Linked DNA regions of Nothobranchius furzeri. The main gene of each other region encodes a partner of the protein of the gene in region 3 in a complex. Links are inferred from orthologs where the notes say so. Each region holds a gene or a part of one and is shown on either strand. Other genes may lie near its edges. The genes, in order: pigp, pigq, pigh, dpm2, piga and phosphatidylinositol N-acetylglucosaminyltransferase subunit Y.

Region 1 (3,847 bases), on a different chromosome or scaffold from region 3:
GTGGTCAGTCATATCCTGGAAATAAAGTCCTGTCCAGCGTTCACACTAGAGGAAGCTTGTTTTTACAGCTACTCACCCCTCAAAACACTTCTCCTTCACCAGCATGCTCTCTGTGTCTTTGCTCTGGTGTTTGCCCTGTTTCCTCCTCAGGATCTCTGCAGCTTCTGCTCCCAACGTCTCCTCAGCATCATCAGGATCTACATCATCGAACCAAAGATCGTCCCTGCAACAAAACACAATAAAGAGTTAGGAATACAAAACTACTCTGGTCCACAATGTCTTCTAAAATCAGTACGGTGTACACACTCTGTAGGCTTCCTCTCCTCTACCACTGGTTTATTCCTCTTGGCTTTCTGCTCGCTGTTGGACTTTCCTTTGTCCCGTTTCCTTTTAGGAGCAGCTGGCTGCGGAGTGTTGGAGGCAGCTGGAACATCAGAGTTCACCTCTGATTCCTTTTGAATGGCAAATTTAGGAGCAACTGTGTGCTTGACTTTAGTCTCATTGTCTTTTTCACTGGGAGTCTTGGGAATATTTTTTAAAGTTTTCTTTGGAAAGACATTCTGTTTGGGTGACACAGGGAGCTTCTTCTCTGGCTTACTGGCATTTAGCATCTGTGGAAGGTTTCAGAAAAATCAGATTAACTTTGTAAATACACACCAGCATCACACTGATGCACAGACAAACCTCTTGGAGAGCTTTCCAGTTAGAGGAGAACTGCTGAGCCTCCTCTGGAGGTGTAGGCAGGTGAGGTTGGTGCTTCTGAGGAGCTGAAATCTTCTGAAATTTGTTTTTCGAGTTGTGTTTTATCCAAAACTCCTTCCTCTTAACTTTAGCTGTGGATTTAGGGTCAGAATGTGCTTTCTTCTTCTTCGCCTTAGACATTATGGAAAGTGTTTTTTAACAAGAAGTTGTTAAACTAAACGTTGTCAGCCATGCTGACATTTCAAAAACAATAGACAATGGCTGTTACCGCTGTCACTTAAAGTAATGTCTCCTTACCAAAAATCTGCATCAAAAATAAAACACTAACGTAAACAAGCAGCTCATTTTTTACAGAACAGCAGATAAACGTGGTTCTGCGTTCAGTTCGCAAATTCCGAAGCCATGCTGCGTTCGTTTTCCCGGCTGAGCAACAGCCAAATGGGTCCGATATGAACAAGACATCCCAGTATGAAACGTTCTACATAGTTTGAAAGCACTCTAATATTCAAATGTTTATTTTCTGTAAATATGTACTAAATCATATAAATTAGTAAATCTTCAAACAATTTAATTTGATGTCATATTTTTGTCTAGTGTATCAAAAGCGGAACTGCTTACCCGGGAAATTTTTCCGACCGAACTAACGCTGGTGCAAACTCGCAGCTGTTCTTAGGTTTTGTTGGAAATGTTTCCTGTTAGTATTATTTTAGAAATCCAGCTTTATTTACTCGTTATTTAGAAACGTAGGGGCACAAATGTTGTGAAAATTCGGAAATTTTATGAACTGAGGTAAGATGACAGAAGTATTTAAGGATGTTTTAGACTCTGGTTTGTGTTGCTTGCTTATTTCCTCTGCTTCCTGTTTGGTTTCAGATCATGGTTGAAAACTCTCCGTCTCCTGTCCCCGAGAGAGCTATTTATGGGTTTGTTCTCTTCCTTGGCTCACAGTTTGGTTTCTGTAAGTCAAAAATAATTATTTTATTCTGTTTTGCACACACACACACACTAGAACGCATCTTTTAGGTGACAGGTCAAGACTGTTCTTCCTGTATAAAATCAGAAGTAAATGATCTTTATGTTTACCTGTAAATGTGTCTGTAGTGTTTTGTTTTATTTTTTATATTCATCCTAGCTAATACACAATCTTACGTTTGTCTTGTGTTTTTAAAAGCTGACACAAGTAAAGATGGAAGACAAAACACAGCGGTGATCTCAACACTTTAAAGGATACACCTTTGTTAATTTTTTTTCACAACTCCCATGTGTGGTGTCAGGGTTAGCGTCCAAGCAGCAATGCCCCTAAAACAAAAACAGTTCTATTTGTTTGGACATCTCTGCTTTTGTGGCAGCTCTTTTCTACCTTTATGGCAGCCATCATATGACTGATTGACCATGTTTAAGTTTAATTATTTAGTGTCCGTGTTCAATTTAAACAAATGTTCGACTGTTTAAAGAAATGTTATTTGATTAAACTCCTAATCACACATTTGAATGTGAGGTTAGATTATTTCTATTAGAAGAAAGGCTATTTATTATGATAATTTAGCTTCTCGTATGTTTTATTCCTCAATGCACATCATGACCTGCTGACATAAATCAGTGCCTGCAGTCTCTTTAAAGTCAAATGCTAGCTATAGTTTCCCAACTCACTGAGTAATTGTGATTTAAGGGACTGAAGATAAATAATAACTATATTTCTCCTCCCTCTCCACAGTTCTGTACTGCTTGTGGGCATTTATACCAGAGGAGTGGCTGCATTCAATTGGACTCACATACTGGCCTCAAAAGTCTGCATCACCTTTAAAATCCAGATCAGATTTCCCACCGACATTTGGCATTTGGGATTTCTAACAAAAACTCCCTGTTCTGCACAGATACTGGGCTCTTGCAATGCCAATCTACCTGCTGGTTGCAATATCGGTGTCATTTTTGGTGTTGTTTGGGATAAACATGACCAACACTGCTCCACTGGACTCTGTGGACAACATCACAGGTGAGGTCTGATAGCATCCCAGCTGTTATCTATGAAAGGAATAAGTGTCAAATAGCAGTTTAAAAACTAAATATTTAGTGTACATTTTGTCTTGTTTTTGTGTTACAGATGTATTCGCACAAGGCCAGAGGGCCGACAGCGACTGCAAAGGCGGAGTTCCTCGACTTAAAGATGTGTCCGTTAGTGAGGTCAACAGAATGTTTTATTTGTCCCCTGAAACATAATTGATAAACTGAGTTGTTGGCAGAGTAAAACTATCTGTGTTTTACCTGGTTTGTGTTTTAAAAAACTGTTAAATGTGTAATATATGATTTGTTCTTCAAAAATAGCCTCACAACTATTTTACAATACCCGTCTAACCTTTTGATTATTTTCAGTTTCATGAAACAATCACAGATGTTATATTTATCATTTAGTAAATATAAATGTAGAAAAAAGATCATTTTAAAGCTCAGTTTACCTGCTGGGATGACTTGATGGGGAAACAAGAGTCAAAAGAGCAACAGTAAATAACTTTGTGTTATTATGACTGGTTGTTACACTGATGATCTAAAGCATAACTGAAACTGTATAAAATATCTTCGTTTGTGAGAAACGGTGAAGTTTAAATTGTAAAAAATGAAGTAAAGTTTCCTGACAGAGAAACAAGGCATGTAAATCTCTTCTGAGCTTTATTGTAAGGTGTAATTTAGACAGGTGAAACGTGATAAATTACAAACGGTGCAAGTTTTCAATAATTCATCTTAAAAGATAAAACTACTATATGAGACACTCATTACATGCAAAGCCAGATATTTTAAGCCTTTATCTGTTATAATTGTAATGGTTATGGCTTGCAGCGTATGAAAAATCTCAGACAATTAGAATATTACATCATATCAATAAAACAAGGATTTTAAATAGAGAAATGTCAGACCTTTGAAAAAGTATAATCATACCTGTGTACTCAGTATTTGGTTTGAGCCCCTTTATTGTTTATTGAATTAAATGAACTTTTGCACGATTTTCAAACTTTTCAAATTTCACCTGTATGTGTAAATGAAATTTTCTTGCGTTTAAGCCACTTTTTTTAGTGAGTAACTGCAGAGATGGGTTACTGAGTGTGGGACTTGAGAGGCTCTTAAAGCTGCTAAAAATAACTATTGGGCATGA
Region 2 (4,085 bases), on a different chromosome or scaffold from region 3:
ACATAAAAAAATGAAGGTGAGTAGGTTGAGTTTCTCACTCTGATCGCGGCTGAGCACCTCACAGGTGAAGCCTGTCTTTCCCATCTGACGACTGATCTGGAGCCAACGTTCCTGAGGGAAGATGGTGCTCAGGTCCCTCAGGAAGCTCTCCAATCCCTCTTGACCTTCTTTGGGTAAACTCCAGGAGCCAAGGACAGACAGCTCCACCCCGCTCTGAGCCTGCATCTGGGAGGAGATGAGAGAGGAAAGATTTGAGAGAGATTTAATTTGTTGCCAATTTAAAAACAAGAACACCATCACTTAGTGATAAAACCATTGAAAGTTCACATATTTTCTGCTGTACTAAAGTTTTCTAAATATGCAGAACAGCACAGTTGTTTTGGACCCCCAGTGACGTATGAAGGAAAGTAAGGGCTCTGCTGAGACACAAACCTGCTGGATGTACTGCTTCACCTGTCCAGGGATGAACGGGTAGTGGATGACCGCTAGAACCACAGCCGAGTCATGACCAGCGATCCAGCGGCCCACCAGCAGCCCGCTGTCAGCTCGGTTGCAGCATTGCGGGAAGAAGATCTTCAGCACCATGACTACAGTGGATCTAATGAAACATCAAGTAAAAACAAAATCAGCTTGACGTTTAATATTTACACAATAAAACTACAACTTAAATCTCAGGTTTGGTGTGTTGAAATTTAAAGATTATAGTGTAGTACAGTTCACTGTTTTGTCAACAGGATTAAGATCTGACTGTGAGAAGAAATGTGATCTCACCTGGCTTTTGATAAAGCAGCTGCTAAACTTTATACAGAAGTTATTTTAGATTTATAGATTCAGACGAATGATTTGGTCTCAGATGAGCAACACCAACAGGACAAATCACACTTTGTTGTTTGTTAGTGATTTACCACAAAACTAAACCAAACGTAGAGAAACAATACCAGAAAACTGAAGTGCATCATAGGCCAGCAGGTCATCTCAACAAAGGTTGATGTAGTGATGCAACTCAAAGTCAGATCTTAGGTTCACTTGAAATAAAATAAAATTTAAGTGCAAAAAAACTAATTATGAAAGTCTGGCTGCTTGAAATTAAAATACAGAATTGAGGACTTTGGTTCATCCTCTGTGTTTTATGTCTTTATACCGCTAAATGTAGTTGAGCCGAATGAAATTCAATTACAACGTGAACTGAGGAGACAGACGTGCGTCTACAGAAAAGAGCTGGCGGAGGAAAGACTTTGAGTTGGCCGATTTATACAATGAGTTCGGAGATCTCTGAAACCGGCTGGTCTACTTTTTGCCCTTGAAATATCGAGTCCACCCCGGTTGTTATGGCAACGCAACGAGCCCAGAGCGGAAATGTCATTGATTCCACTGACAATGATTTCGATCCAACAAGTTAGGAACAGCATGGCGATTAACTGTTGATTTAGCAGAGGAATACAAATGAAAATATATTGTAACATCATAAAAACATAAACAACTCACTCCCAAACGATTGAATCGGTCCCAATACGACGAAAAAGCGAGTTTATTTTGTCGACAGTCCGAAAATTCAACAAGGTTCACACCGAACAAACGACTCAACGCGGCCCTGTTTGAACGTCCAACATCATTATAAATGTAAGACAGAAGAGCGGTGCATACTTACCTTTTCTAACACGACTACAAACGTTCACCTTCCATCTGAACCCAAGAGTGAAGTTTCCTACGTTGAAACCATCGGTTGAAACAGCTTTCATTCACGTTGTTTACAGTCCGTCCCTCGAAGTGTTCGGTCAGAAACGCGCGTGAATGTAAGTTCCTATTAGCAACTGCTCTTTAATTAAAATAATAAATAACTAAAACTAAATGTAAAAATCGTTATTTGTGTTTTCATGAGACACCATTAATAATAAACAAGGATGTTTGGATATTTTATAATAAAAAAATAAAAAATTTCAAAATAAAAAACCCGAATCGTGCTGTGATCAGAATTCGATTTACAAATGGTTTGATTTTCGTTCTAAAATAAACAGAAATCATGACAACCGTACTGTCACTGGCAAAAAATAAATAAAAATAAAAATGGCACCACAGATCTGGCACCTCCTGTAAAGGGTGCCAAAAAAATCAACATTTTGCTGTCCTTGTCCCCCTGGTAAAATAAACATTGATGGATGCGTTAAATTATAGTGTTTTAGAAAACGTGTTGAATTAAAAGAGTGAGAAGTACATTTATACAATTGTGTATTGTGTCTTATGTTATACTGCACCAGTGATTCTACACTGTAATAAAGTTATTAGACAATTGACTTGGTGACGGACAGCTGTCTCCCTCTTGCAGCCATTCTCTGACACTTCAACAAACGAGCATTTTAAGTATTCCCTGCAGGACTGCAGAGCCACTACCTGCATGTTTTGTTTTTCTCTACACCAACTCACTTGGTTTTAATCAACGGGTAAATAACGAGCTCATGAAGAACTTGAGACACAAACGACGTTTTCGTGTCTGGGAGTAAGTCAATGTGTTGTTTTGTGGTACATACATCACATATTCGGTTTAAGAAGAAAATTACCAGAACACTAACATCTTCTCTCAGTATATCAAAAATATGATAGAAAACAAAACATCAATAGAGTGAGAGGTGGATCCAACAGACAAAGAAATAAAAGAATGTTGTGGCTCACCAGCTCAGGTCCTGCTGCTGTTCAAGAGTCTTAACTGTAAAGACATTTATCTCCCCCTGCAGTGACATAGCAAGAAAAGCGCGGGAGGAAAACACAGCTGATAAAAGAGCAGTACTACTACTACTACTACTACTACTACTACTACTACTACTACTACTACTACTAATAATAATAATAATAATAATAATAATAATAATAATAATAATAATAATAATAATAATAATAAATTATTCCTGTTTTATTTCAGGTTGTAACTTACCAATTTTTAAGCTGATTGTCTAAAAACCTATTTTAAAGAAATTCAATATTTTATTGATAGGTTTCATTTAAACCATATTGTTGCTATTTGTTGTATTTATGTGTTAATATTGTTCTGAGGTAAAAGCTTTCTCATTTTTATACAGCTGCAGCGACTTATTTTTAAATGTAGTGGTCTGGTTGAGACAAAGAATTAAAAGTTAAACTGCATTACCCAGCTGCACCTGCGGCCATCGACATATGCCTGCGACTAACGGCATTGTGGGTATGCAGGAAGTAAACAAACACACGTGAAAGATGGCGGTTTCAGAGCAGAGAAAGGAGAAAAACGGAGAGGTTTTAATAGAATTTAGGGCGTCGTTTTTTGCTATGAAGCGTCTAACGTCGTTTCCGTGGACTGTGAGTATGAGACAGCACACAAAATCACGCGTGGACGTGTTTAGCTGCTGCAGGAGGAATTCCCTCACGTGAAGTAGCAAATATAAAGCTCAGTTCTGTTTCCTCCACCACAGGTGATAGAGAATGATGAGTTAGCAGAGTTTATTTTAGATCTTCTGAAGCAGGTAAGAGGTATTCAGTCATTATTACCTAACATCCACGATTATCAAGGAATAAACAAATGTGTTATTTGTTTGACAGACGTGTCTTCATCCTTTGTGCAGGAGGTTTCCTCCCTCAGTCAGATACAGAAGGCTGTTTCTGTCTGAACTCATCAAACGGGTCGGTTCCTGCATCACTTTATTTTGATAGTTCAATTCAAAAATACTTTATTAATCTCAGAGGGAAATTGATTGCTGTAGTAGCTCAGAATAATAATAATAATCAAGTCATCAAAGAGTTGTATATTACAATGGCTGTTGGCAGGAAGGATCTCCAGTAGCAGTCAGTGTTGCAGCCAAACTGAAGAAGCCTCTGACTGAAGACACTCTTCCGTTGTCGGACAGTCTTGTGAAGAGAATGCTCAGGGTTGTCCATCATTTTCTTGATTCTCTGGAGAATCCTTCTTTGCATTACCTCCTCCAGCGGTTCCGAAACTGCCGAAACTCTGGCTGAGTCCTTGAAAGGGCTTGGAGTTCCTCCATCTTGTTGGCCAGTGATCTCACATTGCCCATTATGATCGATGGAAGAGATGGTTTGAATTTCTTCTTTCTCTGTCTCCG
Region 3 (3,671 bases):
TTTAACACTAACAAGGAAAACATCCAACCTCTAAAGAATGAAGGTGCGTGATTTATGAGCGAGTATTTTAAGGTACATTCATATAATGTCTAATAATTTACATAAAAAATTCATAAACACAAGGTAAAAAATATCCACATAAATCTTTAAGTTCTTTGTGTAATCCAAGCTAATAAAACCAGAATGGTTGATGTACTAATCAAGACTGTAACAAACACCAACTAAAACAAGCTGCATAAGCATAAAGAGTCTTTCTGGGAACTAACATGAAACTAGTGATGGTTCCTGTTTTAAAATGTAGTTCTGCCCTCTACTGGTAAAACAGGGAGTGATCAACAAACAAGAAAACAGGAACTTGATTCAATTATGTTTAAATTACTTCTTAAAACACAAAGAAATGCATCATTATAAACAAAACAGCTCCCTCTACTTGGTTTATTCTAACCATTAATCCCAAAATAATGAAAAGTTTAATTATATCAATGGAAAATTAGATTAGCAATAAAGGTCAGTGCTGATATAAAAATCATAAACACGACAAAGAAAAACAATTAAACTGTGAAACTAATCTTCAAAATTTGGCAAAAGATCACAATCACCTCACATGAATTTATTCATGAAGGTGGAAAACTAGGAAAAAATTACAAACAATGAAGAAATCATTGTTTTGCTTTCATGCGTTATAGAGAATTGGCTAATTTTCCTAAAACACATCACCTAGGCTTGTTATTATTTCAATCTGGAGGGTTATTGGCACGTTGAAAGAATCTCCTGGCAGCTTTTGTAAACTTTCACCAAGCAGCCGAGACGAGGTTTTGAGCTCTGAAAGTTAAAAAAGGGACATTCATCAGAGGTTTTCTTTGTGTGTGTGTGTGTGTGTGTTATAGAAGAAAGATGAAGAAAAAACTGACTTTGACGCTCACCTGAAACAACGGCACAACACTTGACACTTCATTAGGCTCGAAAGGCTCCTTCAACAGCACACACAGGTAATAGATGATCTGATGCTGAAATAAAAGCATTTCATTTTAATACAAGTCTCCCTGAAAACTTATATTTACATCTGCTTACACACCATGTAAATAGCTTCATTGATGACAATATCTTTGATCTTGCTCATCTCAATGAAAGTGGTGACCTCGCGACCTGAGGCGTAGCTGGAGGACACCTGGATGCCCAAGGAGCCGATCACCAGAAGAGACTCGTGGTCTACCTTCACAAAATGGATGTGAAGCATCATCCCAACGAGGGTGATGAGGATAGCACTGGAGAGAACCGCTGTGTTCTAAAAGAGAGAGGAAACGATTGCATGCAGATTTTAGAGAAAATGCACTGATTGTGGATATGGATGCTGATACCATTTGTGTGAAATATTGGTTAGTAAAGGTGAGTTTAATGACCAGAATTTTTTTTTTAAAGATTTTTCTATTTCTATTTGTCAATGGTGCATTCACAGACTTGGCAAATAAAGAAAAAAAATTTAGATTCAGACTCATTGATTACTGGTTAAGCTGATCATGCTATATATGCCAGAATTAGCTGACTTTTTTTTTTTGTGGATTTAAATCATTAAAACAATAAAATAAACAGAGTATTAAGATCATAAACTTACACTACTGTCTACAAAAATAGCATTTATAAAATGTTATAAAATTACTTAAAAGCATATTTTGATATGAGAACTGAGAACCTCACCAAATTTTGATTTTTTGTTTTATTGTCTTTGACTAAATCTCGAATATTTGACATCTCCCCAGAGAGCATTTTAATATTATAGTAAATGATAAAAAGCACAGTGGTCTCGAGTCATGGTCCTCAAGAGCCACCGATCTGCAGGTTAGAGGTTTCTCTGCTTCAACACAACAGATTGTTAACAGTAGGGATTGCATCATAGTTCTGCAGAGCTTGAGCGCCTACTGAACATGTAATGTAACCACTGGATCACGTGTTGGAACAGGGAAACTACTAAAACATGCAGGGTAGTGGCCATCGAGGACAAGGACCGGACACCAGTGATTTAAAGGAACCTGAAATACCTTGTCTTACCTGTGTGAAGAAGAACACAGCATAAGCTAACAGCCACACAGAGCAGGTGTAGACCATCACCTTCCCAATGGACACCTTGGGAGAGCTAACAGTAAACTCCCTGCAAAAGCTGGAGTGACTATGGCAGTCCAGAGTAATTGGTTTGCCATTTATGTCTGTGAAGGCTTCTTCCTCCATTGTGTAAAGCCCAAATGTAGAGTATGAAGGAGAAAAGCTAGCACTTAGCTAGTGCTAGCAGCTAGGTGACCTAGTCAGAATTAGCAGTGAGCTAACGCCTTCTGTTATAAATATTATTTTGCTACGCAATATAAGGGCAGACGTGAACAAAAAACTGAGAAAAAAACACAAGCAACTTTTGTTTAACCAAAAAATAAAAATCCCTAAGCTACTGAATCACCTAGCTCCACCTCTGATGCATTGTTTTAGACACCTGGACGTCCCGAGTACAAGTTGTGCTTAAACAATAGAGCTGATAAACAAAGAAACGTCTGCATTTCAGCAACCATATACATTTCAATACTATCAATACACATTAACATTTATAGTATGTCATGGATCATTAATATGATTTTAACCAGATCGTTTCAAAATCAACACTTGTCTCGGCGTGCACCGGTGGCAATACAAGCGATCGTAAAAGCAGCTGGAAGACGCAAAGCATTGTGGGTACTGGCCGTAATGCGTAAACTCTTCATCTTTATTCGTTTGAGTCGTTTTGTATCTTTTATTAAAATTTATTTAACTGTATAACAGAAATTCAAGTGTTTTAGCATTTTTATAAATAAAATAGATATCCACAGATTTTAATGTGTACAAGAAGAGCCAGGACAACGGACTTCATTTCCCACCATGCATTGCGTTTCAATGGCTTTTGACCTCTGGGTAAAAACAAGCCGATCAGCTGCAACAACATCTCTGACGAGATGCTGATACAACAGCTTTGCTCAGCCGGCTGGTTAGCTATGTGGCGGTTGGTAAAATGGTCCTAGATTATAATTCCTGGGGTTAGGTCTCGTCGGGACATCGTTTTTAGAAAAAAAAAATCGTCTGTTGGACGGGAAGCCACCGTTAGGTAGGTCAGTGGACTAAAAATACTACTTGTTATGTTTGAACCGTGTCTCTTTGTGTAGTAGCGAGTCTTAGCTAGGCTGTTTACTGGCTGATGTGGGGAAAGTTGGACACTCTTGTCGAGCTTGGAGAGCTGTAATTAGACACTCAACACCGTCTGGTTGTGTTGCAACATGTCCAAAACAAACAAACAACTCCCTCCATATAAATAAACAAAAGAGAAATGATTGAGGGAGGTGTATCCAAAGCTGCCAGTGCTACCTAACTTTGTTTTATGCCAAAATGACAAAAATGGCATTACTAGCCTTTGTGTTTGTCAACATTATTGTTGTTGTTGTTGTGAAATCAAAGGGTCTGAGCCTTACGTTGATGACATTGTTAGTATTGAAGAGATGACATCTCCTCTTATTTAGTGGTCCAACTAAATGTCCATTTCCACACAGGCCGTCCAGATTTATTATCAGATTTGTGACTTTCCAGGTTTAACATGAGTGGTCAGAGTCCAGCAGTGGACAAAGGGATGAACACGGTCCTCGTCTGCCAGGAGAGCTACGCCT
Region 4 (2,226 bases), on a different chromosome or scaffold from region 3:
ATGGATGTTCTGGTAATAAACCTGATTCTGTTGAAACTAAATAAAGTTTACTCCAGATCAAAGAGGCGAGCCGCAGATCTTCATCATCATCATCATCACCAGAACTCACCTCAGAACGGACCGCAGCTCGGAGCCGGCTCGGTGGGTTCGGGTCTCTGACTCACATGTCCGCGCGGAGCCTGGTCGCACCACGGACCGGGTCCCACCCGGTGACACGCACGGACCGAACCACCGAAACGGACCGAACCACTTGCAGGAACCGGTTCTGCAACGTCATGCAGTGATGGTGCAGAACGATGAATAGCTGACAACAGTTTGGTCCAGCTGGAGGCTCCGGAAGCTTCTACACCCCCCACCCCCCCACACAGGCACTGATTGGTCAAGCTGAGGCTGAGCCTGGTGCAGGTCCAGATCAGGCCCAGGCCTGGAGGAGATCCTGGTTCCGGGTTCTGAACTCTTTTCTATCATCATCATGTCTGTGAGTTAGAAACGAGCGCAGATCCAAAGCAGAAAACATTTTAGTTTTATTTTAGAAAAACGATCATCCGGGAACTCCAGCTGCAGTAAAACACCAGAACAGCTGGATTTCAGCACTCAGATGTCAGTCGGTCTGCTTTGAGTGAACACATCTGGATGTGAAACGGATTCAAACAGGCTCCATTTAAACATTTACTCTTTCTAAACATTCAAATAAAATCTGGTTAAATCAGGTGAATGTTGACATCATCTAGACATGTGACCTCTGGTTCTCTGCTGCAGCAGGTGTGATCTTATAGAACCGGTCTGGTTCTAGTGAAGTCCTCTGAGACCTGAATAGAACCAAGTCTGAATCTGCAGAACGTTTTCTCCATCGTGTAGTACGAGCTGGGCCACTAGGTGGCGCCAACGCGCTATAAATGACGTCTGAAGCGGAAGGGCATCAAAGGGACATTTCTCTTCTTTGCAGAAGAACATGTTGTTTATAACTGCAGGAAAAAGTCTATTGTGCAGAACAAAAGTATGAGCTGGTGGTTCTGGTGTCGCCGCCAGCAGGAATAACCTTTAAGGGGTTCAATCCTCCTTAGGCCACTTTCTTTGGTTTGTGGTCCTTCCACATGATGAAGGTAGTGAAGGCTCCTGCAGAGGAAGCACAGAGTCATCTCCTCTCATCCACGGAAAACATCAACATCCCATATTCATGCGACAGAAAATAAACAGAATGTTTTAATGAAGAAGTTTATGAGTGAAGATACTGACCAACAAAGAGGACAAAGATTACTGCAGCAACACCTGGTAGGATCACAGAATATTCCCGAGGAAGGAAACATCTGTGCAGGGGGTGATCCGAGTCTACAAAAGGCTGGAAAGTAACACAAAGGTGACCTAATGAAGCTCAAGTCACATGATCAGATACAGAACTCAAGATGAGGACATGGAAGATGTTTCATTTAGAGAAATGTTAGCTGCAAACACCCAACAGAACCCACCAGAACGATGACCCAAACAGTGTAGTAGGAGAACAACAGGAGGCTGAAAACAACGAGACTCATCCCGACCGCCTGATCTGCTCCCGACGCCTGGAAGCACAAATGCAGCCTGGGATCAAGATCCAGCTTCCTGATCATCAACAGGAAGAATCAGAGATAAACAGTGAGGTGTTTGTGTGCGCGCGTGTGTGTGTGTGTGTGTGTGTGTGTGTGTGTGTGTGTGTGTGTGTGTGTGTGTGTGTGTGTGTGTGTGTGTGTGTGTGTGTGTGTGTGTGTGTGTGAATTAAATACAGTCTTATAAAAAGCTGCAGGATCCGGCATCGGTACGGTGGTTCTGGGAATGACTCAAAGTTTATTCTTTTAAGTATTATTTTATTTTTTAATTTTATATCATTTATTTATGTAGTTTATATCTATAAATATATTATCTATTAATATATAATAAATATATTTTAAATAGAAAAAAAGTGTAATCACCCAAAATAAACTACTGAAGGACTGGTGCATTTCTTGGTTTGGCCTAATGTCTTATTTAATCATGTTTCTGATGCCGTTCATTTAAAAACTCCATTCAAACTTTGAACACAAGACTTTAGTTCAAATCTGCTGATTCTTGATTTTGTTTGTTATGAAAATGTAAACAAATTAACCAGAAAGCTCTGATGTGTCACTTCCGTTGTTGTAAATACAATAAATCACAGATATGACATTTATTTTGGTAAACCATAACCCCAAACAAATAAAACAAATAAGGGCTGCA
Region 5 (3,500 bases), on a different chromosome or scaffold from region 3:
CCACCACAACTGGCTCTTCTCAACGTGGAGGAGCAGCGGCTCTACTCCGAGCCCCTCCTGGATGACCAAGCTTCTCACTCTTTCTCTCAGTTGGTTTTTACAAAGCAATGCCGTCAATTTGCCGCTAAGGTGCAATAAGACAGACAATTACAGCAATATTACTACCAAGGAGATGGAAGGAATGCTGCAAAATTTGCGCATCGCCATGCCAGAACTGTGCGCCTTGTAAAAAGGGCTTGTGGGAGAGCCCAGCCACCCAGCGGAGAAATCTAATTTCTGCCGCTTGTATCCGCGATCTCGTTCTTTCGGTCACCACTCAAAGCTTGTGACCATATGTGAGGGTTGGAACATAGACTGACAGGAAAATCAAGAGCTTTCCAAAAATAAATATAAACGTGTGCTCTAACAAATAATTTATCAAACCAACTGTTATTTTATTAGACGTGATTAAGAGCAGATGCTGCTGCTTTATTGTAACCAGTGTTTTCACTGCTTTAGTTCAGAGCAGCAGGGAGTGTAAGAAAAAATAAAAAGTGCTTATTAACTACCGAGAAGAGCCTCCACACAAAGTTCCCTTTGTTTAGAAAAATGTAAACGTTGAGCATTTGATCGAGTACAGACAGCATTTAAACAGTCTGATGGCCGAAGGAGAGATGGGTTTTCTCGTTTTGTGGCAAGTTTGGAATCAGTCAAACTTTTTCCTGCTTGTTTTCTGTCTCCACAGTCCATGAGGGCCGGTGGCATCAACAGCCACGTCCATGAACCGATCTGGCAACAACCACTGCAGAAGCAGCAGGAAGAGGAAGTCCAGCATGGCAACAAAGGCAAAGATGGATCCAGCCACGGGGCCACAGTGAGACCGGAGTCTCCGCAACCTCTTGGCCAGAGGGAGGACCTCTTCTCCAACTACTTTATCATACACCTGGGAGGAAAAACATATGATGATGTCATTACCTACACCAGATATCCTATCATTCAAGTCATCCTCTGGTACCTTTTCTGTCCTCTCTGCGACATTTTTCCAAGTGTAGAGGTTTCTAACACGATTGTGGATTGAAGCCGGTGAGGGGAAAGAATCGGATCGTTGCTTAGCGATGACTTGTTCCAAACCATCACACAGCGACCGCACAGTAGGTTCACACAGGGTTATTAAGTCATCAGGCAACACCTCAGGAATGCCACCGACGCGAGTGCTGACAACCTTCCAGGGAGGATGGAAAAGAGCTGCTCAGAGTTGATAAAACCAACATTCTAATAAGGCAAATCAGAATTATTCCACTACAGCTAAAGATCAGTCTGAATCTGTTTGTTTTAGATAAAACAATGAAGATTTTTAAATTCAGCATCACTATTCCAAAGATATGGAGTGTTTCTGAAAATAAAATCCTTTCTATTAAAAAAAGATGCAGACTTAAACGAATGTGTGAAAGCGGACAGAAAAGAAGCACCCTACAGAAAAGTGTTCAAAAGGCATCAGTTAGTGATCCTGATACACGACAAATCAAAGACTCAAAAACCAGCTGCTTCCTACTTGGAATGCATACCAAAGAAATATTTTACTAATGAGGTTGTTTCACTTCTTTACACTTTCACATGTGACTAGATTTAGTTTGCTACTAGTTTATATCTGTTAACGATAAAGTTACACAATTATCATGAATTGTATGAAAGATTTAGGTCTGATTAGTTTATTGTTACACAGAAAGTAAAACCTAAGTAAGAGATGTAAAAGAGATCAAACTTTTGCTTGTGTGTAAGCTCAACCAACTGGAAACAGGAGCAGACACTTTCCATGAATCAGTGAGAAAACACTGCGTGGGGGCCAAACAAGCTATCTGATACCTTGCAAGAATTTACCTTAACCCTTAGAGGTCCCTCGTGCATTTTGTTGCGCAGGCAGTCATGTATTTTTGAATAACTTTGGCTGTGTTGATGAAATTCTTTTTATTTTTATTTTGCTCCGGAGTGTGTTTTTGGGTACGTTTACTAAAAATAAAATGTGTTTTCATAATTTATGTGACTGTGTTTTTTTCAGTTTTCATTAGAAAAATCAGTTCTCACCCAAAGTCTAATATCAGTGCAAAATCCTACACAACAGATGTATATGTGCTTTTTCTGTGTGATTCTGCACACTTACATACATGCACTTATGACTCAATGCAATCGACAAATGACCAGAGGAAAGATTTTTTCATGCTTTGGTGGGTGGTGGAGGTTGGAGCTTTTTTCTGTGTGAGGGACCTGGATGTGAGTTTTTCTGAATATCTGACACCATACAAAAGAGACAGATAAAACAAAAAATATTTTTTTGCTCATTTGTGACTCTCTAGAGCCCTCACAATTCACCCCCTAAAGAAGTCCTCTGGACATAACACACGAGAAATGATTTAGGTTTTTTGACAAAATATGGCCCTCTCCCTGGGCTGCCACCTTACCGTGGTGGAGGGGTTTGAGTGTCTCAATGATCCTAGGAGCTAAGTTGTCTGAGGCTTTCTGCCTCTGGTGTCACCCATGGCAAACAGGTCCTAGGTGATGGATCAGACAAAGAGCAGCCCGAAGACCTCTTATGATGAATTATATAAATGGAAACCGTGTTCCCTCGCCCGGACGTGGGTCACTGGGGCCCCCCTCTGGAGCCAGGCCTGGAGGTGGGGCACGCTGGCGAGCGCCTGGTGGCCGGGCTTTCACCCATGGAACCTGACCGGGCACAGCCCAAAGAGGAAACGTGGGTCCCCCTTCCCATGGGCTCACCACTCGTGGGAGGGGCCAAAGGGGTCGGGTGCAGTGTGTGACGGGTGGTAGTCAAGGGAGGGGACCTTGGCAGTCTGATCCTCGGCTATAGAAGCTGGCTCTTGGCACATGGAATGTCACCTCTCTGGTGGGGAAGGAGCCTGAGTTGGTGTGTGAGGCTGAGAGGTTCCGACTAGATATAGTCTGACTCACCTCAACACATGACTCTGGCTCTGGCTCTGGAACCAGTTTCCTTGAGAGGGGTTGGACTTTCTACCACTCTGGAGTTGCTCCCACTGAGAGGTGCCGAGCAGGGATGGACATACTAGTTGCCCCCCATCGTGGTGCCTGTACGTTGGGGTTTAACCCGGTGAATGAGAGGGTAGCCTCCCTCTGCCTACGTGTGGGGGGACGGGTTCTGACTGTGGTCTGTGCTTATGCACCAAACTACAGTTCAGACTACACACCCATTTTGGAGTCCTTGGAGGGGGTGCTGGAAAGCGCTCCTTCCGGTGACTCCCTCGTTCTGCTGGGGGACTTTAAGGCTCACGTGGGCAACAACAGTGAGACCTGGAGAAGTGTGGTTGGGAGGAACGGCCCCCTGATCTGAATTCGAGGGGTGTTTTGTTTTTGGACTTCTGTGCCAGTCATGGATTGTCCATAATGAACACCATGTTCAGACATAAAGGTGTCCCTATGTGCTCTTGGCACCTGGATACCTTAGACCGCAGCTCGATGATCGGCTTTGTTGTTGTTTCATCTGACCTGCG
Region 6 (2,274 bases), on a different chromosome or scaffold from region 3:
TCAGCGACACTGCAGCTTTTAGCACATTTCGCAAGATCTGATCATTATTTTTAGGATTTAAATAAAAAATGAAGTGATTTCTTTCAAAAGCTGCCAGGTTAATTGATTTTAATACCCAAAACCATTCCTAAATGGTGTTGCTAACTAAGCCAGACCATTGAGACACAGCAGTTTTTAACACCTTTCATACTAACTGATCTTTTTTATTAGGATTTTTATCAAAAATTAAGGGATTTCTTTCACTGGCTTAGTAACATCATTGGGAAATTGTTTTGGGCGTTTACATCAATTAAACAAGGATGTACTATGTTTGAATACATCCTACTTAAGAATTAGTCAAAGCTGCATTAGAGGCAGTGTAAAGGTGAAATCTACCCCCCCCCCCCCCCCACACACACACACACACACACACACACACACACACCGTCGTTGTCTTCCTCCGCTTATCCGGGTCGCGGGGGCAGCAAGAACCTACCCAGCGAGAGCTGAAGGTCAGAGCTGGATGAAGCTAGGAGGACCACATCATCCGCAAAAAGCAGAGACGAGATTCTCCTGCCTCCAAACTCGACACACTCCACACCACGACTGGCTCCGGCCACCTTGCGACCACAGCTAGCAACAGCCGCCTTAACAATCGCAGAGTGGAACAAGGCCCACTCGGAGTCAATGTCCCCCACTGGTCTCGGGACGCGGTCAAAGCTCTGCCGGAGGTGGGAGTTGAAGACCGTCTTGACAGGTTCTTCTGCCAGGCGTTCCCAGCAGACCCTCACTATGCGTTTGGGTCTGCCAGGTCTACGCGACATCTTCCCCTGCCATCTGATCTAACTCCCCACCAGGTGGTGATCAGTTGACAGCTCCGCTCCTCTCTTCACTCTGGTGTCCAAAACACACGGCCGCAGGTCGGATGATACGACTTCAAAGTCTATCATCGACCTGCGACCTAGGCATTCATTATTAGAAATGACTGAACCAACGCATAAAACAGTCTAATCTGTTTTCCAGATAACTGATGTTCTTTTTCTTTCCTCTAGGTATGATGCCAATACCAACGAGCTGATCAATGAGGAGCTTGGCATCGCCTATCCCATCATCGACGGCATCCCCAACATGATCCCCCAGGAGGCCAGACTCCTTCAGAAGGACACAGACGCTTCTAATCCACCTGCACAGTAACAGAAAGTCTATCAAAGACCTTCATTTGCCAGAAAACCGATTGAGCACTGCTATTTTTTTAAAGAAAAAAACTGTAAAGCTAATCTGCTAGAATGCTCTCCTTGTCCGTGATGGTGGGACTGGTCCCCATCGTGTCACTCATTGGCTTGTTCTACTCTGCAGCCGTGGATGAGAACTTCCCTCAAGGCTGCACCAGCGGCAACAGTCTGTGCTTCTACAGCCTGCTGCTGCCGGTCACCATCCCCGTCTACGTCTTCTTCCATCTCTGGAGCTGGATGGGGATCAAGCTCTTCAGACACAACTAGGATGCTCTCTGAAAACAACCCACGGCATGTTTTCTGATGCACTTTTACCTCCTTTACCAACTTCAGTAACATTATTTTCTTTATTTCATGTCTGTTAAAGTCTGCTAGACTTGGGTTTTACTTGTCTGGAAGTTTAGGCTTGCAGGTAGGACTCATAGTAACCGAGTCCGTGTAAACGCTAACTGCTACTGAACAAACTCCTGTTATAAAATGGATAAATGTAACCGATTTAACAACTGAACTTCTTGGATTTTTCCAGTTCTTGCAGAAAAGAATAAACAACTTTATTGGAATAAGTTACTTTTATTTGATAAAAACATTTTCACACAGAACAGCTATTTAATGTCTGTTTTATGAAATGTGAACGTACTTCAGGGAGGAACAATCCAGCAAACATGCCTGTACTTCAAACACAAACTATCATCTTTTCATGCAAAACAAAACAAGTTTTAAAAAAGCTCGAACTTTTAAGCCTTTGACCCAAAATGCTCCGAAACAAACAAGAACAGCTTTCATCGTACGTTCACGTCCTTCCTTAGTGACACTTTTTGCTTTTAGGGTTTCTGCCCTGAGAAAATTTGGTCAGCGGAGACTCCGGCCGAGGCGACTGCCATTCTCCTTTTGTCTTGAAGAAGAAGGGTTTGTTTAGTCTCAGCTGGACCGCTCCGACCTGGGGGGGGGGGGAGGCTCTCTGTTAAACAGTGACACTTGTAAAAAGAACCACAGTCTGATAAAAGCATGAGAGGTTTGTGATACGTAGCATATGATTCAGGGCTGTCCAACTCGGACCCTTTAG

What was found.
Region 1: pigh (region 3) and pigp share a complex: the UniProt entries of both Homo sapiens proteins name them as parts of the glycosylphosphatidylinositol-N-acetylglucosaminyltransferase (GPI-GnT) complex. The link is inferred for Nothobranchius furzeri from reciprocal best matches to the Homo sapiens genes PIGH and PIGP.
Region 2: pigh (region 3) and pigq share a complex: the UniProt entries of both Homo sapiens proteins name them as parts of the glycosylphosphatidylinositol-N-acetylglucosaminyltransferase (GPI-GnT) complex. The link is inferred for Nothobranchius furzeri from reciprocal best matches to the Homo sapiens genes PIGH and PIGQ.
Region 4: pigh (region 3) and dpm2 share a complex: the UniProt entries of both Homo sapiens proteins name them as parts of the glycosylphosphatidylinositol-N-acetylglucosaminyltransferase (GPI-GnT) complex. The link is inferred for Nothobranchius furzeri from reciprocal best matches to the Homo sapiens genes PIGH and DPM2.
Region 5: pigh (region 3) and piga share a complex: the UniProt entries of both Homo sapiens proteins name them as parts of the glycosylphosphatidylinositol-N-acetylglucosaminyltransferase (GPI-GnT) complex. The link is inferred for Nothobranchius furzeri from reciprocal best matches to the Homo sapiens genes PIGH and PIGA.
Region 6: pigh (region 3) and phosphatidylinositol N-acetylglucosaminyltransferase subunit Y share a complex: the UniProt entries of both Homo sapiens proteins name them as parts of the glycosylphosphatidylinositol-N-acetylglucosaminyltransferase (GPI-GnT) complex. The link is inferred for Nothobranchius furzeri from reciprocal best matches to the Homo sapiens genes PIGH and PIGY.

The regions. Positions count from the first base shown.
Region 1 is NC_091756.1:33,916,769-33,920,615, forward strand, and holds pigp (phosphatidylinositol N-acetylglucosaminyltransferase subunit P), read left to right. Parts: upstream 1-1,322; 5' UTR 1,323-1,491; intron 1,492-1,575; 5' UTR 1,576-1,578; coding exon 1,579-1,660; intron 1,661-2,416; coding exon 2,417-2,489; intron 2,490-2,576; coding exon 2,577-2,695; intron 2,696-2,803; coding exon 2,804-2,919; 3' UTR 2,920-3,347; downstream 3,348-3,847. Other genes in the region: rexo4 (RNA exonuclease 4), read right to left, coding at 77-223, 307-611, 685-882. UniProt on the Homo sapiens protein: Part of the glycosylphosphatidylinositol-N-acetylglucosaminyltransferase (GPI-GnT) complex that catalyzes the transfer of N-acetylglucosamine from UDP-N-acetylglucosamine to phosphatidylinositol and participates in the first step of GPI biosynthesis.
Region 2 is NC_091745.1:17,739,454-17,743,538, reverse strand, and holds the start of pigq (phosphatidylinositol N-acetylglucosaminyltransferase subunit Q), read right to left. Parts: upstream 2,801-4,085; 5' UTR 2,668-2,800; intron 1,777-2,667; exon of another isoform or gene 1,649-1,776; intron 599-1,648; 5' UTR 586-598; coding exon 433-585; intron 226-432; coding exon 3-225; intron 1-2. Other genes in the region: protein-lysine N-methyltransferase EEF2KMT, read left to right, coding at 3,223-3,324, 3,438-3,488, 3,565-3,645. UniProt on the Homo sapiens protein: Part of the glycosylphosphatidylinositol-N-acetylglucosaminyltransferase (GPI-GnT) complex that catalyzes the transfer of N-acetylglucosamine from UDP-N-acetylglucosamine to phosphatidylinositol and participates in the first step of GPI biosynthesis.
Region 3 is NC_091742.1:25,590,636-25,594,306, forward strand, and holds pigh (phosphatidylinositol N-acetylglucosaminyltransferase subunit H), read right to left. Parts: upstream 2,479-3,671; 5' UTR 2,224-2,478; coding exon 2,047-2,223; intron 1,286-2,046; coding exon 1,076-1,285; intron 1,008-1,075; coding exon 924-1,007; intron 823-923; coding exon 748-822; 3' UTR 501-747; downstream 1-500. Other genes in the region: zfyve1 (zinc finger FYVE domain-containing protein 1), read left to right, coding at 3,602-3,671. UniProt on the Homo sapiens protein: Part of the glycosylphosphatidylinositol-N-acetylglucosaminyltransferase (GPI-GnT) complex that catalyzes the transfer of N-acetylglucosamine from UDP-N-acetylglucosamine to phosphatidylinositol and participates in the first step of GPI biosynthesis.
Region 4 is NC_091746.1:70,780,029-70,782,254, forward strand, and holds the end of dpm2 (dolichol phosphate-mannose biosynthesis regulatory protein), read right to left. Parts: intron 1,557-2,226; coding exon 1,467-1,556; intron 1,340-1,466; coding exon 1,237-1,339; intron 1,117-1,236; coding exon 1,061-1,116; 3' UTR 501-1,060; downstream 1-500. UniProt on the Homo sapiens protein: Regulates the biosynthesis of dolichol phosphate-mannose. Regulatory subunit of the dolichol-phosphate mannose (DPM) synthase complex; essential for the ER localization and stable expression of DPM1.
Region 5 is NC_091754.1:25,454,401-25,457,900, reverse strand, and holds the end of piga (phosphatidylinositol N-acetylglucosaminyltransferase subunit A), read right to left. Parts: intron 1,202-3,500; coding exon 995-1,201; intron 923-994; coding exon 686-922; 3' UTR 479-685; downstream 1-478. UniProt on the Homo sapiens protein: Catalytic subunit of the glycosylphosphatidylinositol-N-acetylglucosaminyltransferase (GPI-GnT) complex that catalyzes the transfer of N-acetylglucosamine from UDP-N-acetylglucosamine to phosphatidylinositol and participates in the first step of GPI biosynthesis.
Region 6 is NC_091744.1:85,184,409-85,186,682, reverse strand, and holds phosphatidylinositol N-acetylglucosaminyltransferase subunit Y, read left to right. Parts: upstream 1-1,265; coding exon 1,266-1,478; 3' UTR 1,479-1,774; downstream 1,775-2,274. Other genes in the region: pyurf (protein preY, mitochondrial), read left to right, coding at 1,032-1,173; triadin, read right to left, coding at 2,014-2,148. UniProt on the Homo sapiens protein: Part of the glycosylphosphatidylinositol-N-acetylglucosaminyltransferase (GPI-GnT) complex that catalyzes the transfer of N-acetylglucosamine from UDP-N-acetylglucosamine to phosphatidylinositol and participates in the first step of GPI biosynthesis.